Oryzias latipes: one gene and its partner. The protein of the gene in region 1 interacts with the protein of each later gene in a biochemical or structural test. Links are inferred from orthologs where the notes say so. Each region holds a gene or a part of one and is shown on either strand. Other genes may lie near its edges.

The links. The genes of interacting proteins can lie anywhere in the genome.
Region 2: the proteins of mylip (region 1) and protein canopy homolog 2 form a complex in vitro, tested with the Homo sapiens proteins (2 studies listed by BioGRID). The link is inferred for Oryzias latipes from reciprocal best matches to the Homo sapiens genes MYLIP and CNPY2.

Annotation. Positions count from the first base shown.
Region 1 is NC_019869.2:23,667,614-23,671,260, reverse strand, and holds part of mylip (E3 ubiquitin-protein ligase MYLIP), read left to right. Parts: intron 1-3,284; coding exon 3,285-3,470; intron 3,471-3,647. UniProt on the Homo sapiens protein: E3 ubiquitin-protein ligase that mediates ubiquitination and subsequent proteasomal degradation of myosin regulatory light chain (MRLC), LDLR, VLDLR and LRP8. Activity depends on E2 enzymes of the UBE2D family.
Region 2 is NC_019863.2:27,667,929-27,672,181, reverse strand, and holds the start of protein canopy homolog 2, read right to left. Parts: upstream 2,823-4,253; 5' UTR 2,678-2,822; intron 2,558-2,677; 5' UTR 2,551-2,557; coding exon 2,448-2,550; intron 2,371-2,447; coding exon 2,255-2,370; intron 1,487-2,254; coding exon 1,289-1,486; intron 1,151-1,288; coding exon 1,054-1,150; intron 965-1,053; coding exon 921-964; 3' UTR 1-920. UniProt on the Homo sapiens protein: Positive regulator of neurite outgrowth by stabilizing myosin regulatory light chain (MRLC). It prevents MIR-mediated MRLC ubiquitination and its subsequent proteasomal degradation.

The DNA.
Region 1 (3,647 bases):
GTTCATCTTGGGTTTTTATTTATTTTTTCCTTTGGACCATTTGGTCTGTGCTTAAGTACTGGAATAACACTATTGGTCGTGTTGGTGCTGTCATTGATCATTAAACCCTGCTTGCTTGGGGCTGTTCAGGTTCCTCCCTTCAGCAAATGTGTTCAGCATTCTGATTAGGTAAACGTTTGATGCCCTGAAAGAGCAGGTTAGCAGGAATCTTAACCCTAAACTCAATTATTTTTGTTGACAAATTTAAGAATTTAAGAATTTAAGGAAAAACGTGATTTATGAAGGTTTGTTTTTTGGTAAAGCATGTATATTTTAAATGAATCGCCTTCTTTGGGTTTTTGAAACGGTACTTATGGTAAATGCTTTTTTTTCCCATGGGGCATTGTGTCTAAACCCAACGCAACTAACTGAGGGGAAAATTGTATGCAGGGACGTGAGTTTGCATAAGATGTCGATCAGATCCAGGTAAGAGTCAAGATTATGGGCAATTTGCACAACTGTTGTTCCACAAAAGAGTATTTTTACTTTTTATCAGTGAGAACACTTGGAAAGGAAAGCATTCTCTTAAACTACTGTTCTACAAAAACTGTTCAAGAGGATTTATTTTGGCTCATGTGTTTTTGGAGATGGTGGCACATCCTGCCATCTTTCACATCAAGCACCATAACTATTGTTTTTTTTTTTTATTCTTTGCTCCACTTTTCCTGTTAATCTCTTAGAACATCTGCTGTAATTGCAGTTTACTGTTCTGTGAAAACCCAAAGAATGTCTCGCACAGACGGCCTGTTTGTTGGATCACTGCAAAGCTCCTTTTGAGTTTGAAGGCATAGATGTATAAAATCCGTGAACTGCAGCTTTGTCTCAAACTGCACATCTTCTGTTTTATTCCGCCTCAAACTGTGGAGAAGTTGGCGTGCAGAGTTAACTACAGGTCATTGACTGGGAGTAACCTCGTAACACATGGCTTCTGGCTGTGGTATTTGACTAGCTTACAAGCCGCATTGTTGCGATGTAAAACTCTGCTGCTGATTGGCTGAAAGCGGCTCGGTATCCAGGCAGCAGGGTTAGGTTTCAGTTTGAGTGCAGCTCCTGAAACAGCCGGTTTTTCTTTTAGTAGGTTTTAATGCTTCGTCCGAGCAAACATAAACAAGAACCCAGGCTTTTGACTTGTTTGTTTTGAGAAGTCTTACTTGTATGAGTATAATTTTTCCTCTTTGGTACTGTGCCACGAAGCTTTGAGTCTGTTTATTTGCTTATATTAGCAGGCGGTCTGTATCTTGTGGACAAAGACGTGTGGCCTAAACTGTAATACAGTAGAAGTAGGACAGGAGACTTCAGTCTCAATAAACTTCCTGACATTCAAAGGATTGCAAGGTGTTGCAATAATGGCCTGCAGATTAAACTGTACAGTACACGCTGTATTAAAAAAACCCTGTTGTTTCGTGTAAACTCTTCCAAGTCATGTCTTGTTTAAAAACTCTTTTTTTTTCTTCTGACTTTATAATTTTTTCTTAAACTTTATTTAAATTTTAAACTTTATCTTATAGGTCTGTCAATAAATGAATACGTTTTTCAGCAGACTCCTGGCCTTTTTTGTAAATTTTAATTTTTTATTATTATTTTGAATAGCAAGCTTCTTGCTAGTTCAAGCTCTTACTGACGTAAGTCCCTCTCCAATCGTTTTTTGATGTATTACAAAAGTTTTCTTAGTGGTCTTTTAATTATGTTTTGTGCCGTTTTTATCAAAATCAAAAAACTTGTCATTTTCTAGGAGATGGTTTCTGCAAAGCGGCAGATCTTTTTTTTCTTTTACCCAGAGGAAGTTGATGATGCAAGTTGACCTTTTTTAAGAAGTGTATTTTCATCCACATGAAGCCATTGGTGTTCGGCCTTTGGTTCCTCTCAGAGCTGTCTGGCAGAAGCGGCCCGCGGTGACAACAACCGTTTCTGCTCTCTGGGCCTCTAAAATCCCTTGAATTCACCGTTTAATGTAAAGGAACTGTTGGCTTCAGTTCACTAAATTGTGACTTCTTTTTAAAGGAAACCCTTCTTTCGTCTACATGTAGGTGTTGTGACTGACGGTAACCTCACGGAAACACCTGTGTAACCGAGAGTAACCTGCGCCTCGCCCTATAGTAACCCTGTGCCAACGACCTGTAGTAAACTCTCTGTAACGTCAGCTCCATTGTTTGCATCAGGCAGGTAGCTAACTAGCAGTGCTCCATCACATGACGCCTGCTGGGCCTGACACAATGGAGTGCAGTGTTTGTGTGCGTTTGGAGGGAATGGGATGTTTAACACCAAATCAAAGCGTGTTTGTTATGCCCGAGGCCGCTCATGCTCTGGTCCTCGCATCGCTCCGGCTTCTGCACAGGTGGCGGCGTAGACTTGGCTTTGTGCGCCCCTCGCAGCTGAACGTTTTTGCAAAGGCGTGTCTGCTGTTGCATTCGCAGCGGCTGAAACACGGCGCTTGTCACAAGGTGTAGTCTTGTTTGTACTGCAGGATCACGGAAAACAACAATCTCCTTCTTTCCAACCGCCTTCAGTTGTATTATTTTGTAGACATTACTGGGGAAGAATGTTGTTTTACTTGCATCTTAAACTTTCCAAACAACCTCAAGTTACTGTAGGATCTAATTTACTCCAATAAAAATGTAAAATTGAATTGTTTTAATGGGTAAAAAAGGAAACCGGTCTGATTTGTTGAGTTCTGAGAGGACTTAAAGTGGGTCAAACTGTTGCATAGAGGTGAATGTGCAACTGTTTTAAGAGCAGGTGACTAGTTCATAATCTTCTTACTGTTTACTGTGGCAAAGGTCAATCTGAAGGGAGGATCTGTGTTCAGCGCTCCTGTTAGCTGCGATGTTTCCCCTCATGGTCTCCTGCTGAGGTGAAGGAAAGAATTCTTTACATCATGTAGCAAAAACAATGAAAAGACCTGCTGTAGCGTCTGTTTTCCCTACCAAACCAGAACGTGGTGCTCCTATGAGTCAGCCCAAACAATAACTGTGGCCCCGCCCCCTACAACTGTTTTCACATACAGTATCCGTGTTTGTATCAAGAAAAGCTTTCAATTTCAGGGTTTTTTTTTAGGTTTTGAGAAAACCTGTGTCATCATTTCTGCTTCAGTTAGGCTTTTTGTGATTTGGGGAAGTGGTTACAACCTAGTCAAACAAATGTAGTGAAGGTTTTTTCACACACTGTCTTAAATGTTAAGTTGTAGCCTTGACTGTTTAATAAATGCATAAAAAAAATCCATAATTCATCTTAATTTCTCCCTCCAGACACCTCTTCTTCCTGCACGTGAAGGAGGACCTCCACAATGGTCACCTACGAATGGGCTCCGAACAAGCAGAGGAGCTGAGTGCCCTGCTGGCTCAGGCAGAGTTCGGGGACTACAACCAAAACACCGCCCAGTACTGGTATTCTGAGCTGTGTGGAGAGGAGCCCAGTGTCGCCACCATCAACAGGTAACACGCCCACTGTACAGCTCGGCACAGGCTGAGGGGGGGGGTTTGAGCTGAAGCTACGTACACCCTGGCAATTTGACGCACATTCAAGAACGTACTGAACAGGCATTCTGGAACATGCGTTTCGCATATGGTGTTCACACTGGACAAGCAGGGAGGGGCTTCTTCTTGTTTTCC
Region 2 (4,253 bases), on another chromosome or scaffold:
GACAAGTATATTTGAAGACAAAATAGTACAAAAGGTTTTCCAAACATTTCAGGAGGAAGTTCAGAGAAATGGGTCCAGTATTTTACCCACCACCAGGTAAACATAAATTCATATTCATCTCCAATCAATAATTATATAATTCTAATAGATAATCAAACCAATCTTGGTTTAGATCAATAATCATAGTAAACAGTGATGGATTAGAGCTCAAACATGTTATAGTTCTTTGATTTTGGATAATAGGAAGCTATAAAATTTTACAATATCCACATGATGTAAAGGTACTTTTTAAAGAACAATAGAACAGTAATTCAATTCCATATTTCTTTATAAAGATTGTAATGAAATAAATTCTAACATTAAGAAAAAAAACACTTATTATTTGGTCACTAGTTCCTGCGACCTTCCAGCTACCATTTTATGATAGGAAAAGGGAAAAACACCAATTTTCTGGACAAAACTCAACTGGGACAAAGTCATCATCAGATGATTTATCTGCCACCAATACAAACAACGGAGTATTTTTTGGAATCAAACCACAATATATGCAGAAGTAGAAGAACAGTTTGCCAAATTCAACCCAATTTCCTCAGAAAAATCTGTACATACAGGCAGGTCCTAATAAATTTGCTGCTTCACAGCTTCAGTAGAATTCAGCAAAGAGTGTGTTTGTGCAAAACACCAACCTTCACTAAAGAGGCAGGATGGACAGAAGTCATACATCACAGCAAGGACCTGAAAGGCCTAAATGTGAGGTGCTAAAGGCTAAAAATGGCAAAGAGTCTCATTGGAAACATCCCTAGATATAAAACAATAGAAATTGTGTTCATCTTGCAACTGCTGCCTTCCTATAAATAGATGGACGAGAAGGACAACACATCTCAGTTTTTACAGAAGGAGGCGACTCTGCAGGGAGAAGGTCAAAGTTCGTCGTGGGCCATGTTCAGAGCGTGATCACAGAGGTCTGCAGACACAAAGCAGGAAAAACCAAACCGCAGAAGATCAGAACAAAAAACGCACAATACAAACCTGATGTGTCGACTTCTAACATACCTGTTCTCTTGCTGCAAAGTTTGTCTTTAACATTTTCTGTTTCATGTGCAAAGAATTCAATGATTTCATCTTCGTGATGTTCAACAATTGTTTCACACTGGAGAAATAAATCATGATAGACGTTTAGAGAAGACAGCAGATGGAATAACTCATAATTAATATAAAATAACCACAAAATAATATTAATGAAGCACTGGATGTAATTATTCTGAGCATTAGCAGCTGCTGTACTCACAGCAAACTTTAAGCTGGATGTGACCCTGGAGTCCAGAGTTGCCTCTGAAAGGTCCATGGCTTCACCGGTCCGAGACTTAACTCTGATGTAGGACTTCCTGTCTGTGGAGAGATCTGTGCGCTCACCGTAGTCCTCCATCCTCTCACACACGCTCTCCATCAGCTCCAAGAGGTTCCCCTCTGAGCGAGCCAGCGGAACCTGTTTGACAGCGAAGAGAGCTTAATAACAACAGAAATAAATTCTTATTATTCATTGTTCTGCCCAGGTGGGTTCACTTTAAACAACAACAAACAAACAAAAAACACTGAAACCAAACTATGCAAAGACTTTAAAGCATGATATGTTAGAATAAACAAAACAGAAAATGAAGATTTTCATTTAAGATGCTCCAACAATCCATTATTCTGCGATGCAGCTTTACCAAAGTGTGCAGTGGATATTAGTCAAGGATTTTAAATGTGCCATATGGTCCAAAAGTACAGTAAGGGTCCCTTTATTAGCTTTGCTTTTATTTTAGTTCATTAGATTGACAAGGTTTTGGCTAAGATGCACCAACAACAATAATAAATAAATAAAGACTGTGTGTAGTTTTATTTTTACACTACTGCTGACATCACCCAACCTACTACTACATTTGCTGCATTGAGATGATCCTATGTGGTACAGGCTGTCTTTTATTTTGAAAGGGAATAATGTGAACCTCTCACAGTTATAAGCTGTTTGATATTTCTAATAAATAAATGAATATTTCTCTATGTTTTTTTATGAAAAAAAAAGATATATCCTAAAAGCAACATCAACATAAATGCAAATCCGTGTCTTTGTCTAAAGGCTGATGTTAGACTTTGTGGCTCCTGCTGGGTTGTGATCAACCATATATGTGAACAGTGAACTAAGATATTAGTGTCAGATAGCAATAAAACTTCCTCATTTCTCATCCTCCTTTATGAAGTTCCAGCATCTTACCTCCCTGATGGACTGACTCCCGTCGGGGTTGATCCTGAAGGATCCTGTCTGGATCGTTTTCTTGGGATCTATCTGGGAAATGGCCCACTCCATCTCATCCACCAGAGCCCTGCAGGCTGCATGCAGGAGGAGGGCGCATTAGGACCCGCGCGTGAGCTGCTGAGACGACCAAACTACAACTGTAGAAACTCACCTCCACATTTGATGTCCTGTCCTTGCCTGGCAGCCTGGCTGCAGGACAGGAAGAGACCCACTACCACACACGAAGTCAGCAGGAGAGCGTTTTCCTTCATCATTCTGCTTCTGAAAACACACATTTCCGCATAATTGATGCTAATATTTCCAGCTCAGCACCTGCGATACATCCCGTGATCACTTCTCCGAACGAATGAAGCAGTTAAGCAAAGTTTTCATTGAACTTACAAGCCTCCGTGAACGTTCCGGATTCCACTTTGACGCTACTCCACGCTTTTCCATCACATTCGTGAAATGTGATGACGTAGCCACAGAGCCGCTCCGCACATCATCGAGCTCGAGAGATTTCAGCTAGCGCCCCCTGGTGTCCAGGGGTTGAACAGCACCACGCTCTTTTGTTGACCGCTTGACATAATTTGGGGCGTTTTTTTTTTTTTTTAGAAATCCCAGCTCCATTTGGAACACTATACCTCTTCATATTTTATCTAAAATTGGTGGCGCTGATTTCTTTCTCATGTGTTATTATGATGTATGTAAAATCCCACTTAAGTTATCTGCATTTTATCGCCAAGCCTTCCTTTCATGGTCCCTTGTATACAAACACAACTTTCCACCTCACAAATATTCTATCTGGAATAACAGGGACATTTTATATAAACGCAAATCACTCTTCATAGAACATTGGTTTCGAAATAAGATTACTTTTTGTATCAATTATTTAACAACCAGGGCTTACTTTTAATTTATGAGGAATTTCTATCTAAATTTAACTTCCCTGTTCCCCCTTTAGAATACGCTAGAGTGTTTGGGGCTATTCCCTCTGGTGTCTGCATGCTGTTTAAATTCCAACACAGAGTTCACGTTGAGGAGCCTTTTCTACTCTCTCCCATAAATACTCCTGTGGGGAAACTAAGTCTGACTGGTTATCCCAGGAAAAACAATAAAGCCATTAGAACATTATTTCAAACGAACATTGTTTCACTACCTCGTAGCATGTCTTATTGAAACGAGTTTGTTGTAGATATTGCATGGAAGGAGGTTTGGCAAAAACCCAATACATTTTTAATCACTAATAAGGTTAAAGAAGTTTCTTTTAAGATTATCCATAGAATTTATCCAGCTAAAATTTTTATTCAAAACAGATTTAAATTAAACATTGAAACACTATATTGTTTTGGTTGTAATTCCCCTGAAACAGTTCTCCATCTTTTCTGGTATTGTCTCAAAGTTAAGATGTTTTGGCAGAAGATGTGTGATTTTATTAATGATAAAATTGATTCTTGTTTTGTCTTATTTTGAAAAGATGTCTTGTTGGGTATAATATCAAAAAATATGCAAAAGGACTCTGGTTTACTCTTAAATCTTTTACTCATTTTGGCCAAATTCCAAGTTCATAAATGTAAATTTTCTGGTAGAAAACCCTGTTTCACTGTATTCCTTTCTGAATTAAATCAGTATATCAACAGTATTCAGTATTCGAAATTCAGAGAAGCAAAAAGCAATCAGAACATTGTCTGTATGTGATGGATTCAGTATTTTTTCATAGAGTTTAACCCCCTGGCTTATTTCTATTTCTATTCTTGTTCTTCTGTTTGTTACAGATGTGTATTTGATATTTGCAGTTGTGTTTTTTATTGCATACTTAAAAGTACATCCTTGTAAAATGGCATAATGTGCAATAAAGTTGAGTTAAAAAAAAAATTGGGGTGGTGTTCTTCAAGAACCAGTTATAAGACATATGAGCCCAGAAATAACTTGATTGTCAAAATAAACGAAGCATCTAAAAGTATTTAAATATTTTCTC